Linked DNA regions of Medicago truncatula. The main gene of each other region encodes a partner of the protein of the gene in region 2 in a complex. Links are inferred from orthologs where the notes say so. Each region holds a gene or a part of one and is shown on either strand. Other genes may lie near its edges.

Region 1 (5,936 bases), on a different chromosome or scaffold from region 2:
AGAGAGACACACAGACGTGGAAACCATTTCTTTTTGGAGTCTTCACAAAACTGAAGAGAAAGAGAGAAGAAAGACTTGTTTATTCTGTATCTTCCAAAATTACCCTTTGTTTTCTCCTCTTCCATTTGTTTAGTTTTTTTTTTTTTTTTTAACTAATTATGCCAGCACATGATATTACCGTATGAAAATAATAAGAAAGAAATATCAACACATGATGAATCCAACATACCGTAACATTTTTATTGAGACAAAAATAAGTTACTATTTTTTTTTACGAAAAAATAAGTGAGTTAATGTATACAACTTACAAGATACAAAATCATTACGTCAAAAATATATATAAAACTATTTTTTCTGGTAGTGACAAAACTATTGTAATAGTGGATTCAACGCAAACGTCATAAATTACATGTTTTTATTAAAGGATATTTTTGTCTTTTTAAAAAATTGTAGCATCTCTTTCTCTTCTATTTCTCTTATACCAAACAATCCATCAAATCTACTATATTTCTCTCTTCACATACTCTTTCTCACCTATTTCTCTCTTCTCACAACCAAACACACCCTAAGAGTTCAAAGTGGAATTTGTTATAATTTATTTTTGTAGATGATGAAAATTAATGTTTTATAATAAATATCTACTATTTATGAAATCTTTTTTCACGGTACTATTTATGAAATCTTTAATATGTACTCTAAGGGCACAATATTTTTTTTTGTGGTGTCCGAGATTCAAACCTCAGACATTATATATATTATGCATTATTCCTATCAATTAAGCTAAGCTCACATGTATCTAAGGGCGCAAGTTAGCATAACTCAAAAAATATTTAGTTTGTGGTAAAGTCAATTTCATTTATTTTATAGGGGGAGACTCAACTCAACATTTTATTTTACATGCATTTCTTTAAAGAATTGAGTGTGTTCACGATGGAGTTTGGATCAATTATCAAAATTTATCTAATCTAAATGTAATAAAAATTAAGGATTAAAATATACTTATGTTGTTTGATCGTTTTGATATATTTGATTTTGTGTGATTTCAATTTTTTTTTTATCAATATGCAGTTTTGACTTGAATTTGAACACCTCTATAAAAAACACTTGTGTGTGTTAAGAAACCTTCTCATATTTCTATGTCATCAACACCAACTACGTCCTTTTGTGATAAACTTATGGGTCCAATCAGAGCCTCAAGTATGATAAAAGGAAGATGTGTGTGTGTTAAGAAAACCTTCTAATATTTCTAAGTCATCAACACCAACTACATCCTTTCGTGATAAGCTTATGGGTTTCAATTAGAGCCCACAAGTACGATAAAAGGAAGCAGAGAGATGCACAATGTTGTTTAGCAACGACTCTATTCAACAGGTTATTTGCAAGATAAATTCTTCACAACTCCATATTCTTCAACATCTAAATCACTCACACATGCTTGTATATGTTTCTTTGTAGGTGAAATTTTTTAGTCAGAAGGAGCACCTTCATAACATGTCTTTACCGAGATGTGCTTTGAGAGGGAAAGTGTTGCTCGAATTTCTCAGCGAAATTCATATGTTCTTCTAGGTTATATGTGATATTTTGGCAAGTTCCTCCGTATGAGTTACTCAGACTTTGTTAATGCTTGATGCCCCATGCTTAGCCATGTTCCTATTGTTTTTTTTTACCATTCTACCCAAACAATTCACACTCACTTTATATGTTTATATACAATGTCCTAAAAATTGTCGTCATTTTAGTTATTTAAATATCACTTACTCCCTCCGTCCCAAATTGTATGTCACTTTAGAAAAAATATTTGTCCGAAATTATATGTCGCTTTACAATACCAATGAAAAATTAATGTTACTTTTCCTATTATATCCTTAACTATTTATTACTCTCTCTTCTTTCAATTCCTTCATTTATCTTTCTCATATCATTTATTGAGGATAATTTTTTAAAACAACTCATAATATCTCTTTCCCACACAATATTAATTACATTTCTTAATATACGTGAAATGCCCAAAACGTCATACAATTTAAGACGGAGGGAGTATCATTTACACGTAAGTTTTACTTGACAAAACATAAGTAAAATGATTTGGCATCATAAATACACCAAATCTTTCTTACACAATTGAATCAATAAATTACATTTATTTTTTTACAAACAATAAATTACATGATATCTCATTTAATTTAGAGGCACATTTATTGATCAAATGCTGAAAAATAACTTGATGGCCACCCTATAATTGAGGTGAAAGTTATGTGTGGGTTGTACTCTTTGTACTCTACCTGTCATCGACCATACCACAGTCTCATTCTCATCACCCTCCCCTGCACTTCCTCTGCTGTGAACCTTCAAAATCCCAACCATCCAAAACTCCATTTCCACCACTTTATACTTCTCTGTTTTCTGCTCATATCATCTCTACCTCCATCAAGGTTTGATTTTTATCCCTACCCACTTCACCTTATTGCTCATTAATCATTGATCATACTTCTGTGCATGTTTTTATCATGTTTTTTGATGCGGTGTTCTTTATTTTTCTCTAAATTTCCTTTCTTTTTTGTTTTTCTACATGTTGATTTTTTGCTTGTTTATATAGATCGGTGAATTCTTTATGTATGAGTTAAGGGGTATGTGAAAAGTGGATTATCTTGAATTTTGAATCATTTTGGATTGTGGATATTGAATTTTGAATTTGGTGTTGCGTTATGGATCCATGTCTATCAGCTATTATAGTGGCGTGGTTCATGATGAGAGTTGTGATTGTTGTGGTTTATAGGATTGAGTATTTATCAAGAATTTGAATTTTGATGTGATAACATAGCATTGCCCCGTGTTTTGGAATTTATTATGGATTGAAATGGAGTGGAATATAGCAAAATTATTATTCTATAGTTTATTTTTATTTTTATTCCTTTCAAACAATCCAAATTACATAACCTATTATAATTTCATTCCATCCCTTTCCACTAATTTAAATATAAGCCTTGATTCTAGTTGCCGCTGTTTTTGTGTATGGTTGTTTATGGAGTTCCTTATCAGTCAATTCCTTGAATATATGAAGGTTCCGTGTGGCAAAACTACGACAACCAAACATCCTGAATTAATATAAGGAGTGTTGATAGACGTGTATAAATAGTTTGGGGGTTCATTGAGTACAAATTTATGCTCACAATGTTATGTTTTTCGCAGAGAAAGGAAATGAGCAATGTACAATTCATGGCTTTTGAATGCTGATACTTTTAGTATGATGTAACAATTTCATGGTTAAAATATGGAACTTGTTATGCAGTTGTGTTTTCAATTTGTGTACTTTCTGCTGATATCAGAATGTGATGGTCTGACTGGCAGATATGTATTCCAATTTTGTTCTGATTTTATTTTTTAAATTTCACAGATCGTGCTATTTGGGATTGTCACCTGAAATTGGAAATGGTTAAAAGGTTTGCACTCAAGTGCCATCTTACGATGACTTAATGATAAATGAACTACATGGGAATATCTAACTGATTTATTCATGGAACAGTTATGGAGAATTCTGATTTGCAAGAGATACCATGTTGCAGTGCTTAGAGGGATTCAAGTCTCTACTTGCTTCTGTATTGCGTTGTTGTGACATTGATATAAATAACCAGTCAAGAGGCCTTGAAGATCCTGAACTTCTTGCAAGGGAGACAGTGTGTACGCTGTTAATGCTACTTTATTCTATTGATTCATTACTTGATACTATTTGCAAAACTAGATAACAAAAGAATTTTAATATGCCAACATCTGTGAAGTGTCTGATGATTGAGATTTGAGAATACTTGCTTCTGAAATACTGTATCATGCAATATTCCGTTGAATTTTAAGGTAAAGTAATTAACGTTGATGAACTAGAACAAAAAAGAAACGGCATAGAACATGTGATTATCTCTTTGTTTGCTGATTCTATCATCTTTCACACTATTGGTTTGGAAATGAGTATGTAATATTTGTACTAAAGATGACTGTTTATTTTGAATATGTATGCAGTCAGTGTTAGTGAAATAGAAGCACTGTATGAGCTCTTCAAAAAGATCAGCAGTGCTGTAATTGATGATGGGTTGATTAACAAGGTTTGTCCTCTTTTGTCATTGAACAACTTTTGTTTGGTTTGGCATATTATGTTGAAGTTGTATGCATTGTCTATACTTATATGATATGACAATTTTTCTTTTTATTTTATTGTTTTCCTTCTTTGAAAAGGTTTTAGTTTTAAAAAATCTATCCGATGTTATATTCAATTTTAGTGCTCATCTTGCAGGAAGAGTTTCAATTGGCATTGTTCAAGACGAATAAAAAAGAAAGTTTGTTTGCTGATCGGGTACTGCTTTCCCTTCTATTCTATCTGTTTTGTGCAAATATGTTTATCTCCGGGCTATTATGTTAGTTCTTATTTTGATTTATACTTGCTGAAGATATTTTTATCACAATGTTTTCTTTTCTATTTTATGGGAAATCCAAGAAAGCGTTAAATTTACTTTGCACACTGGTATATGGTGTGGACAACATAAATTGAATAGTTCATTGAACATGAGAATCAAGAAAATTTTGTTCAACTTTGTACCTCTGGTAAATGTTTGTAGGTGTAACTAAGAAGTTAGATAACATCATATAATAGGATTTCAAGTTAGTTAGTGTACCGGAAAAATTAGTGTAGTTTCACCATGTAAATTAAGGTGCTACAATCAGTTTTGTCAATTGCAGATCGCAGAAAGTAGTGGCTTGTTCAAATTCCCTATAGCACTGTTATAGCTGCTATTTGATAACATCTTGTAGTAAATCGTGTATCGCGGAATAGTAGCAGTTTGTTAAAATTCCGTTTCACTATAGCCGCTATTTGACAACACTGGCTACAGCATTTCCTTAATATACAGTGCTTACTATCCTGTTCATATGTTTTGTTTATCACATGTTCCCTTACACACATATTTTCAAGAAAAATCACTTTCCGGACCGGATTAATTATCGTTTCTACTTAATTTTTTGTTCCTTTGTTATGTTTAATGACCGATTCTTATTATTCCATGTGGTTGGTATCTCACTCGAGCTTTTCTCTAACTCTATTAGGTATTTGATTTATTTGATACAAAGCACAATGGGATACTAGGTTTTGAAGAGTTCGCTCGTGCCCTATCCGTTTTCCATCCAAATGCCCCTATTGATGATAAGATTGAATGTATGTTGTATATTTTTCTTTTATTATTTTAGGCTGAATTCTCAGTAATTCAGCTTCTAAATTTTAAGAAAGCACATTTAGAGTAAATTCTTTAATGAGAAAAGGGGATATGCGCCGTCAGTGTAAACTAGTTTTGCACTGGCATCCAATCAGAATCCAGCACTATGCGGTAATTTTTAAATTGCAGTTACAAAATGAGATTATGTGGCAATATCATGAGATTTCATTGGACGTCAAGAGTGACAGTGCATCACCATTAAACTCTTCTTTAATTTATTATACACATCATCCGTCTCTTTAAATAAATGAGAACTAAACCATTGCAATTTCATATTTCAGTTTCCTTTCAACTATATGATCTCAAGCAGCAAGGTTTTATTGAAAGGCAAGAGGTAATTCATCTTCTTAAAAATCCAATTCTATTATTTTTGGCTCTCGTTCGAGACGAGCCTGATTTTTGTCTGTCTTTTTATACAGGTGAAACAGATGGTGGTTGCTACACTTGCGGAGTCTGGTATGAATCTATCAGACGATGTTATAGAAAGTATAATCGACAAGGTGCTACACTGTTCTTTTGTCACTTGCACTTCTAATTGCATACAAGAGTTTCAGTCTCTTTATTGAAAACTCACCTGGAATAGTTTAACATTAAATTTTGGATTACTTGCAGACGTTTGAGGAAGCAGATACAAAGCATGATGGCAAGATTGACAAGGAGGAGTGGAGAAACCTTGTTTTG
Region 2 (5,936 bases):
GAGTTCAAATTGTTGCATTTAGCATTGTGCTCACACTTGATATTTCTATATAGGCTGGTATAGTGGAAGACTTGGACGAATTGGTAAAGGAGTTTGGAGCTGCTAATGACGAAGAGAAGAAGGCCATGTTTGCCCGAATTGAAGAGCAAGTTGAGAAGGTCAAGGGTTCAGCTTCTAGGTAGTGTAACAAGATATTGGGATGATGGGGTTGTCCAATCTAGCCTCTTTTGAACATGATGAGTTTTCTTAGGCCTTAAAGAGAAAGAATGTGTCTTGAAAAGTGATAAATGAATTGCATAAGCAGATCCAAACATATTAGTTTACTTTCAAAATGAGTAAATTACTCTACATTCACTTTTGGAATAAGTTAAATTAGTAAACATTGATGTAGTATAAAGAAATTTTATACTCCCTCCGTCTCAAATTGAATGTCGCTTTGGAAAAAAAATTTGTCCCAAATTATATATCGCTTTACAATACCAATGAAATATTAATGTTATTTTTCCTATTATATCCTTAACTATTAATTACTTCATCTTCTTTCAATTATTTCATTTATCTTTTCCATACCATTTATTAAAGATAATTTTGTAAAACAACTCATAATTTCTCTTCCCCACACAATATTAATTACATTTCTTAATACGTGTGAAATGGCCAAAACGTCATACAATTTGGAACGGAGGGAGTATTTAAGAGTGGTGTTTCTATTGTAGATGCTCATCAGTTTCTATTGTAGGGATGCCATTTCTTTTGTTTCCTTTTGACTGATGTAAATTTTGGCAAAGTTCCCTTTTTGGTTAGTCTCTTTTTGATAAATCTTCACTTATTATGTAGGCTTAATTACACTTTTGGTCCTCGTGTTTTGGCCTACTCACGAAATTGGTCTTGCCCTTTTAAAACAGAACAAAACGGTCCTTCAATTATCATTTTTGTTGCATTTTTCGTCCTACCTCCTATTTTCAAACTCTAGAAATGCAGAGAAATGACAGTTTTAGGCGGTTTTAGACCTTCCCCTATGCTCAACCATGAAATCAACAAGGAATAAAACATGTGGGCACAAGGAATCTATTCTATTCAGCACACTAACAAAAAAAAAAAAACCATAATTTGAAACATATCTTAGAAATTAGGGTTTTTTTGGTTAGTGTGTTGAATAAAGTGAATTCTTTGTACCCACATGCTTTATTCCTTGTTTATTTCATAGTTGAGCATAGAGGTTAGGTCTAAAACTATCATTTCTTTGCGTTTTTGGAGAATAAAATGGGGGGTAGGACGAAAAATGCAACAAAAATGATAATTGAAGGACCGTTTTGTTCTGTTTTAAAAGGGCATGACCAGTTTCGTGAGTAGGCCAAAACACGAGGACCAAAAGTGTAATTAAGCCTATTATGTAATGACATATCGTTGGTCCCTTCATTGGTTCCAATTAAAAACATGCTAATTATAATGTTGTTTTCCTAATTAGGATATGCTCTTCTAATGCATCAAAGCTTTGTAATTAAAAGGTAGGAAATTTGTAGAAATATGTAGTTATTTTCCATAATTTGTTCATTTTTCCTTTTGTACAATTGTTTTACAAGATACGTTATTCAACCCGTGCTGAAGCACGGGTTTGTAAGTAGTTCCTCTAAAAAGAATAGGTATAATTTTATTTTTTTTAAGAAAAAATCAATGACCCATGTGTTTTGTTTTGTCTTGCTTTTCATTTGGACTGGTTTTGTTTGCTGGATTCAATGGTCCGCATCTTGGTATAAGACATTGGTAAGACTTTCATTGGCGGAATGATATTTTCTTTGTTGAAGAATGGGTGGATTGATATTATAAATACTTATATTTTATTTTATTGTAGAAAAAAAAAACATATATTTTAATATCAAAAAAATAAAAATAAAAATATTAATATATTTGTCATGGGAATACGTGTTCTATAATATAGTAGTAAAAAAATACACCTTCCGCTCACTAATATAAGCAAAAATCTAATTTTTTAGATACATTCAGTTAATGATGTATGTGGTCTTTATTATATGTTATATACATCATTAATTGAATATATTTAAAAAATATATTTTTGCTTATATTAGTGACCGGAGGATCTACTACAATTTTATAATTTCAATGCAACCTAAGACAAAATCCAAATCCAACTGCATTAAATTGAAAAGATAAAAATCCAAATCCAATGGCATATTCGATTTTGACAATTATGACACATGTGACCTTGCTAGATGAGCCTTCCTCACATAAACCTCTTATTCATTTCATTCATTCATTTCATTGACCATTCTCTCTTCTTCTTCTTCTTCTTTCAAAACCATCAAAATCTTAGTATTATTTCTCTCTCTCTCAATTCCTTCCCCTTGTTTTGTGTTTTTATTCCACACAGCTGAAACATCATCATGATTTTCTCTTTTGATCCAACGGTCAACGATCAACCACCGACCATTTACCTCAATCACAAACGTTAAATCTTTTAGATTCTTCCATTTCTGATTCCTTTGTTTGGTTGGATAGAGAAGAAACAACAAAAAAGGAAAGAAAGAAGAAAAAATGAGACTCCCAAAATCTCAAGTGTGGCAACCTTGTAAGAAGAAGAGGCTCTAATATATAATCATATAATCATATAATCATAGTGAAATAGTTTGAATATAGAGAGAAAAAGGAAGGAAAGAAAAGGAAAGAAAAAAGAGAGAGAGAAAAAAAAGATGACGTCACGTTCGTCGCATATCAGCGGAGGAAGCAGCAACGGCGGACGAGCGAAGGCGGGAAAGTATGAGCTGGGTAGGACGTTAGGTGAAGGTAATTTCGCGAAGGTGAAGTTTGCGAGACACATTGAAACTGGTGATCATGTTGCTATCAAGATACTTGATAAAGAGAAAATTCTCAAGCATAAAATGATTCGTCAGGTTAATTCTTTGTTTTAATTGTTAAATCAATTATTTGTTTTTATATCTTAGCTTTCTGGGTTATTATGTTATAGATACGAAGTTTCTACTGTTGTTGTGTAAGCGTTGACTAATCTTCGTTTAGAGATGTTAATTGATCATTTACCACTGTTTATTAACTTATCTTTTTGTTTAGTTTTTAAGCTGGTGTTGGGGTTTGACTATTAATTTACTTATTTTAATGGAATTATTAATTTAATTTTGTGTGTTTTTGGTTTGATTTTTTTATTTCTTGGCTGGTAAGAAAAGATGTTGTAGAACAAACTTAGTACTTGTTTGGTTGCATGTTTGATAATCGAATATATACGTTTGCAGTGATATCAATGCAAAGTTGCCGTGATTTTTAGAATCTAGAAAATAGAGCTTCTGAAAATATTGTCGAGGTTTTGAGCTAACGGGAAAATTTGCTGCAGAACCAAATAGAGGCTTAATAGATACTCCCTCCGATCATATTTATAAGAAAAACAACTTTTTAAATTCATTGAATTAGCCATCCTTGGTTGTGGCTCTTAAATGGGTTCCTACCGATGATAATTTGTTCTTTTCCGGTTTGACTACTGGAGCAAGTTCATCTGTGGATGTCAACTGAAAGAACTGTTCTTCCACAAGAACCATGATCTTATTCATTGGAAAGTTAATAAATAAAAAATAAATGTAAATATGAAAATGAATTGATTAAGTGTGGAATACTAGGGTTGACCAAGATAGAGTTGAGATTCGAACACGGATCATCATTGGAGACACTAAAGAGTTTGACTTCTTTTTTTGTTTTCTTAGTTTTGGTGTCAAGTTCTGTTAGTGTTATGTGTAGGGAATGTTATTATCTGATTTTTCTCGTTGGAATAGTTTTCTGTCATTGAAATTTATGAGATTATCTCTGTTGAAACAATAATGCGTCTTGATTCTTGGGTAGATTACTGAAGAGAATTCAAAAGAATATCCGTATACGAAACTGACAAAGGTGATAACATTGTGCTCCAACCAAGAGACGTCATACACTGCTGATAGCCGCAAAAATGTTTCTTGTTTATACCTTTGTTCTTTATAAAACTTCAAAAAGGTTCTTCTTCTCATCAGTATCCTCGTTACTAGGCAAAAAAGAAACAGTTTACACTTTCTGACTTACGAGGCATGGAAATCATAAACATGTCAAGAATAATGAAATTGGACTTAGAGAAAGTGTGTTGGATTTTCAAACTTCCCATCAGAATTTAGCTTAAAAATATGAATAAAATTAGGGAAAAAGATGTTAGTTATTAAGACATTTCCCTAAACGTGTTGGATGTTACATCGAAACTCTCAGTTACTTGCTAGTGTCTCTGATAACTTAAACTTTGACAAAAGAAAAATCTAGAAGTTTGAATATTGCTGTGAAGGAAACAAAACTAATGGGTGCCATCATCATTCAATTAAAAGAAACTAGTGGGGTCTTCATGAAACATATCCATGACAGTACAAACCAGGGACGAACATGAATAACCGAAGTCTGTTTTGCCATTTCATTAACCATAAAAGGGCAACCCGGTGCACTAAAGCTCCCGCATACGCAGGGTCCGGGAAAAGGCTTAGTGGGAAAAGGCTTGGGTGTTGTTGTTGTTGTATACACAGGGTCCGGGAAGGGGTCCCACCATTTGGTGTATTGTACGCAGCCTTACCCTGTTTTTACACGAGGCTGTTTCCAGGACTTGAACCCGTGACCTCCCAGTCACATGACAACAACTTTACCAGTTGGGCCAAGGTTACCCCTCATTAACCATAACCTTATTTATTTATCTCATCATTCTGACCAAAGCAAAAGTGGTCTATGCTTCTGGGATGGTTCTTTTCACTTTTCCACCTCAGTCGCCATTTATTATGAGGTGCTGATTAATCATATAAAGTATTTGTTTGATTGATTATATCTCATATAATTATTTGTAAGACATTTCTTAATATTATTAATTAATTACTTGCTTTCTAATTATTTTATGTGTTGGCAACAGTTAAACATGGCAGCTATTCGAGTTTAAACTGTGTTTTGTGTGGTATTGAGAAAACGTTTAGTAGTCTATAGTTTTGAAGTTACATTTCAATGAAACATTGTTGTTGAAATCCTCCTCGCGTAGGCATGGTTTGCTTGACCGTAATAAATCTTAGTATGAACAACTTCTGCTAAATTTTGGGGTTTATTTTGTTTTTCTGAAGCATAAATACTCTAGTCTTTGCTGATATTCTGTTGTTCACTGTTATGCAGATAAAACAAGAAATATCAACAATGAAACTGATTAGACACCCAAATGTCATACGCATGCATGAGGTTAGTAGGCAGTAAATGATTGCTTCCATGTATTTTACATTTGTGTGGTTTGCTTCTATTCTCATATTTTCCCAGTTTATTCTTTCAGTTTTTCTAACTGCTCTCTGTATTGTAAACTACAAATTCCTTGTGTAGGTAATAGCTAACAGGTCAAAGATATTCATTGTAATGGAACTCGTGACTGGTGGGGAGCTGTTTGATAAAATTGTAAGGCGGTTTTTACCTTCGTGTGTGCTTTGAAGGCCTAAATTCCTTATATTAGTGTTGTCCTTCTATTACCTCTTATTTTGTTGATTTTTTCTGTTATTAAATTGAGACAGGCTCGCAGTGGGAGGTTGAAAGAAGATGAAGCAAGAAAATATTTTCAGCAGCTTATATGTGCTGTGGATTACTGTCACAGTAGAGGTGTTTGCCACAGAGACCTAAAGGTGTGTATTACTTTCTCCTTCACATTTTTCCTTTGCTTCCTTTTTTAAAGAGGAGATGGGGTGCTGGTGTTGGCTTCAAATTACATGTTTTAAAATAATTTCAGTAAAAAATTAATTTTTCCCCAGAAGGAATATGGCGAAATTACTTGAAGCCTACGCTTTTTTGAATCCAATTGTAGATTTTATGCCAGTAATACCCTTACTCTTTTTTCTCTTAGCTTTTGTTTAGCAAGCTGCTGTAAGTTTTCGATGAGATCTTTCATT

Evidence for each region. Proteins that work in one complex are often made in the same cells at the same time.
Region 1: CBL-interacting serine/threonine-protein kinase 23 (region 2) and calcineurin B-like protein 3 share a complex: the UniProt entries of both Arabidopsis thaliana proteins name them as parts of the K(+)-channel calcium-sensing kinase/phosphatase complex. The link is inferred for Medicago truncatula from reciprocal best matches to the Arabidopsis thaliana genes CIPK23 and CBL3.

Annotation. Positions count from the first base shown.
Region 1 is NC_053044.1:27,323,033-27,328,968, forward strand, and holds the start of calcineurin B-like protein 3, read left to right. Parts: upstream 1-2,247; 5' UTR 2,248-2,432; intron 2,433-3,394; exon of another isoform or gene 3,395-3,440; intron 3,441-3,523; 5' UTR 3,524-3,554; coding exon 3,555-3,678; intron 3,679-4,011; coding exon 4,012-4,094; intron 4,095-4,282; coding exon 4,283-4,342; intron 4,343-5,088; coding exon 5,089-5,197; intron 5,198-5,536; coding exon 5,537-5,589; intron 5,590-5,674; coding exon 5,675-5,755; intron 5,756-5,867; coding exon 5,868-5,936. UniProt on the Arabidopsis thaliana protein: Acts as a calcium sensor. CBL proteins interact with CIPK serine-threonine protein kinases. Binds calcium ions. Binding of a CBL protein to the regulatory NAF domain of a CIPK protein lead to the activation of the kinase in a calcium-dependent manner.
Region 2 is NC_053043.1:21,923,569-21,929,504, reverse strand, and holds the start of CBL-interacting serine/threonine-protein kinase 23, read left to right. Parts: upstream 1-2,294; 5' UTR 2,295-2,708; coding exon 2,709-2,909; intron 2,910-5,181; coding exon 5,182-5,244; intron 5,245-5,379; coding exon 5,380-5,451; intron 5,452-5,564; coding exon 5,565-5,672; intron 5,673-5,936. UniProt on the Arabidopsis thaliana protein: CIPK serine-threonine protein kinases interact with CBL proteins. Binding of a CBL protein to the regulatory NAF domain of CIPK protein leads to activation of the kinase in a calcium-dependent manner.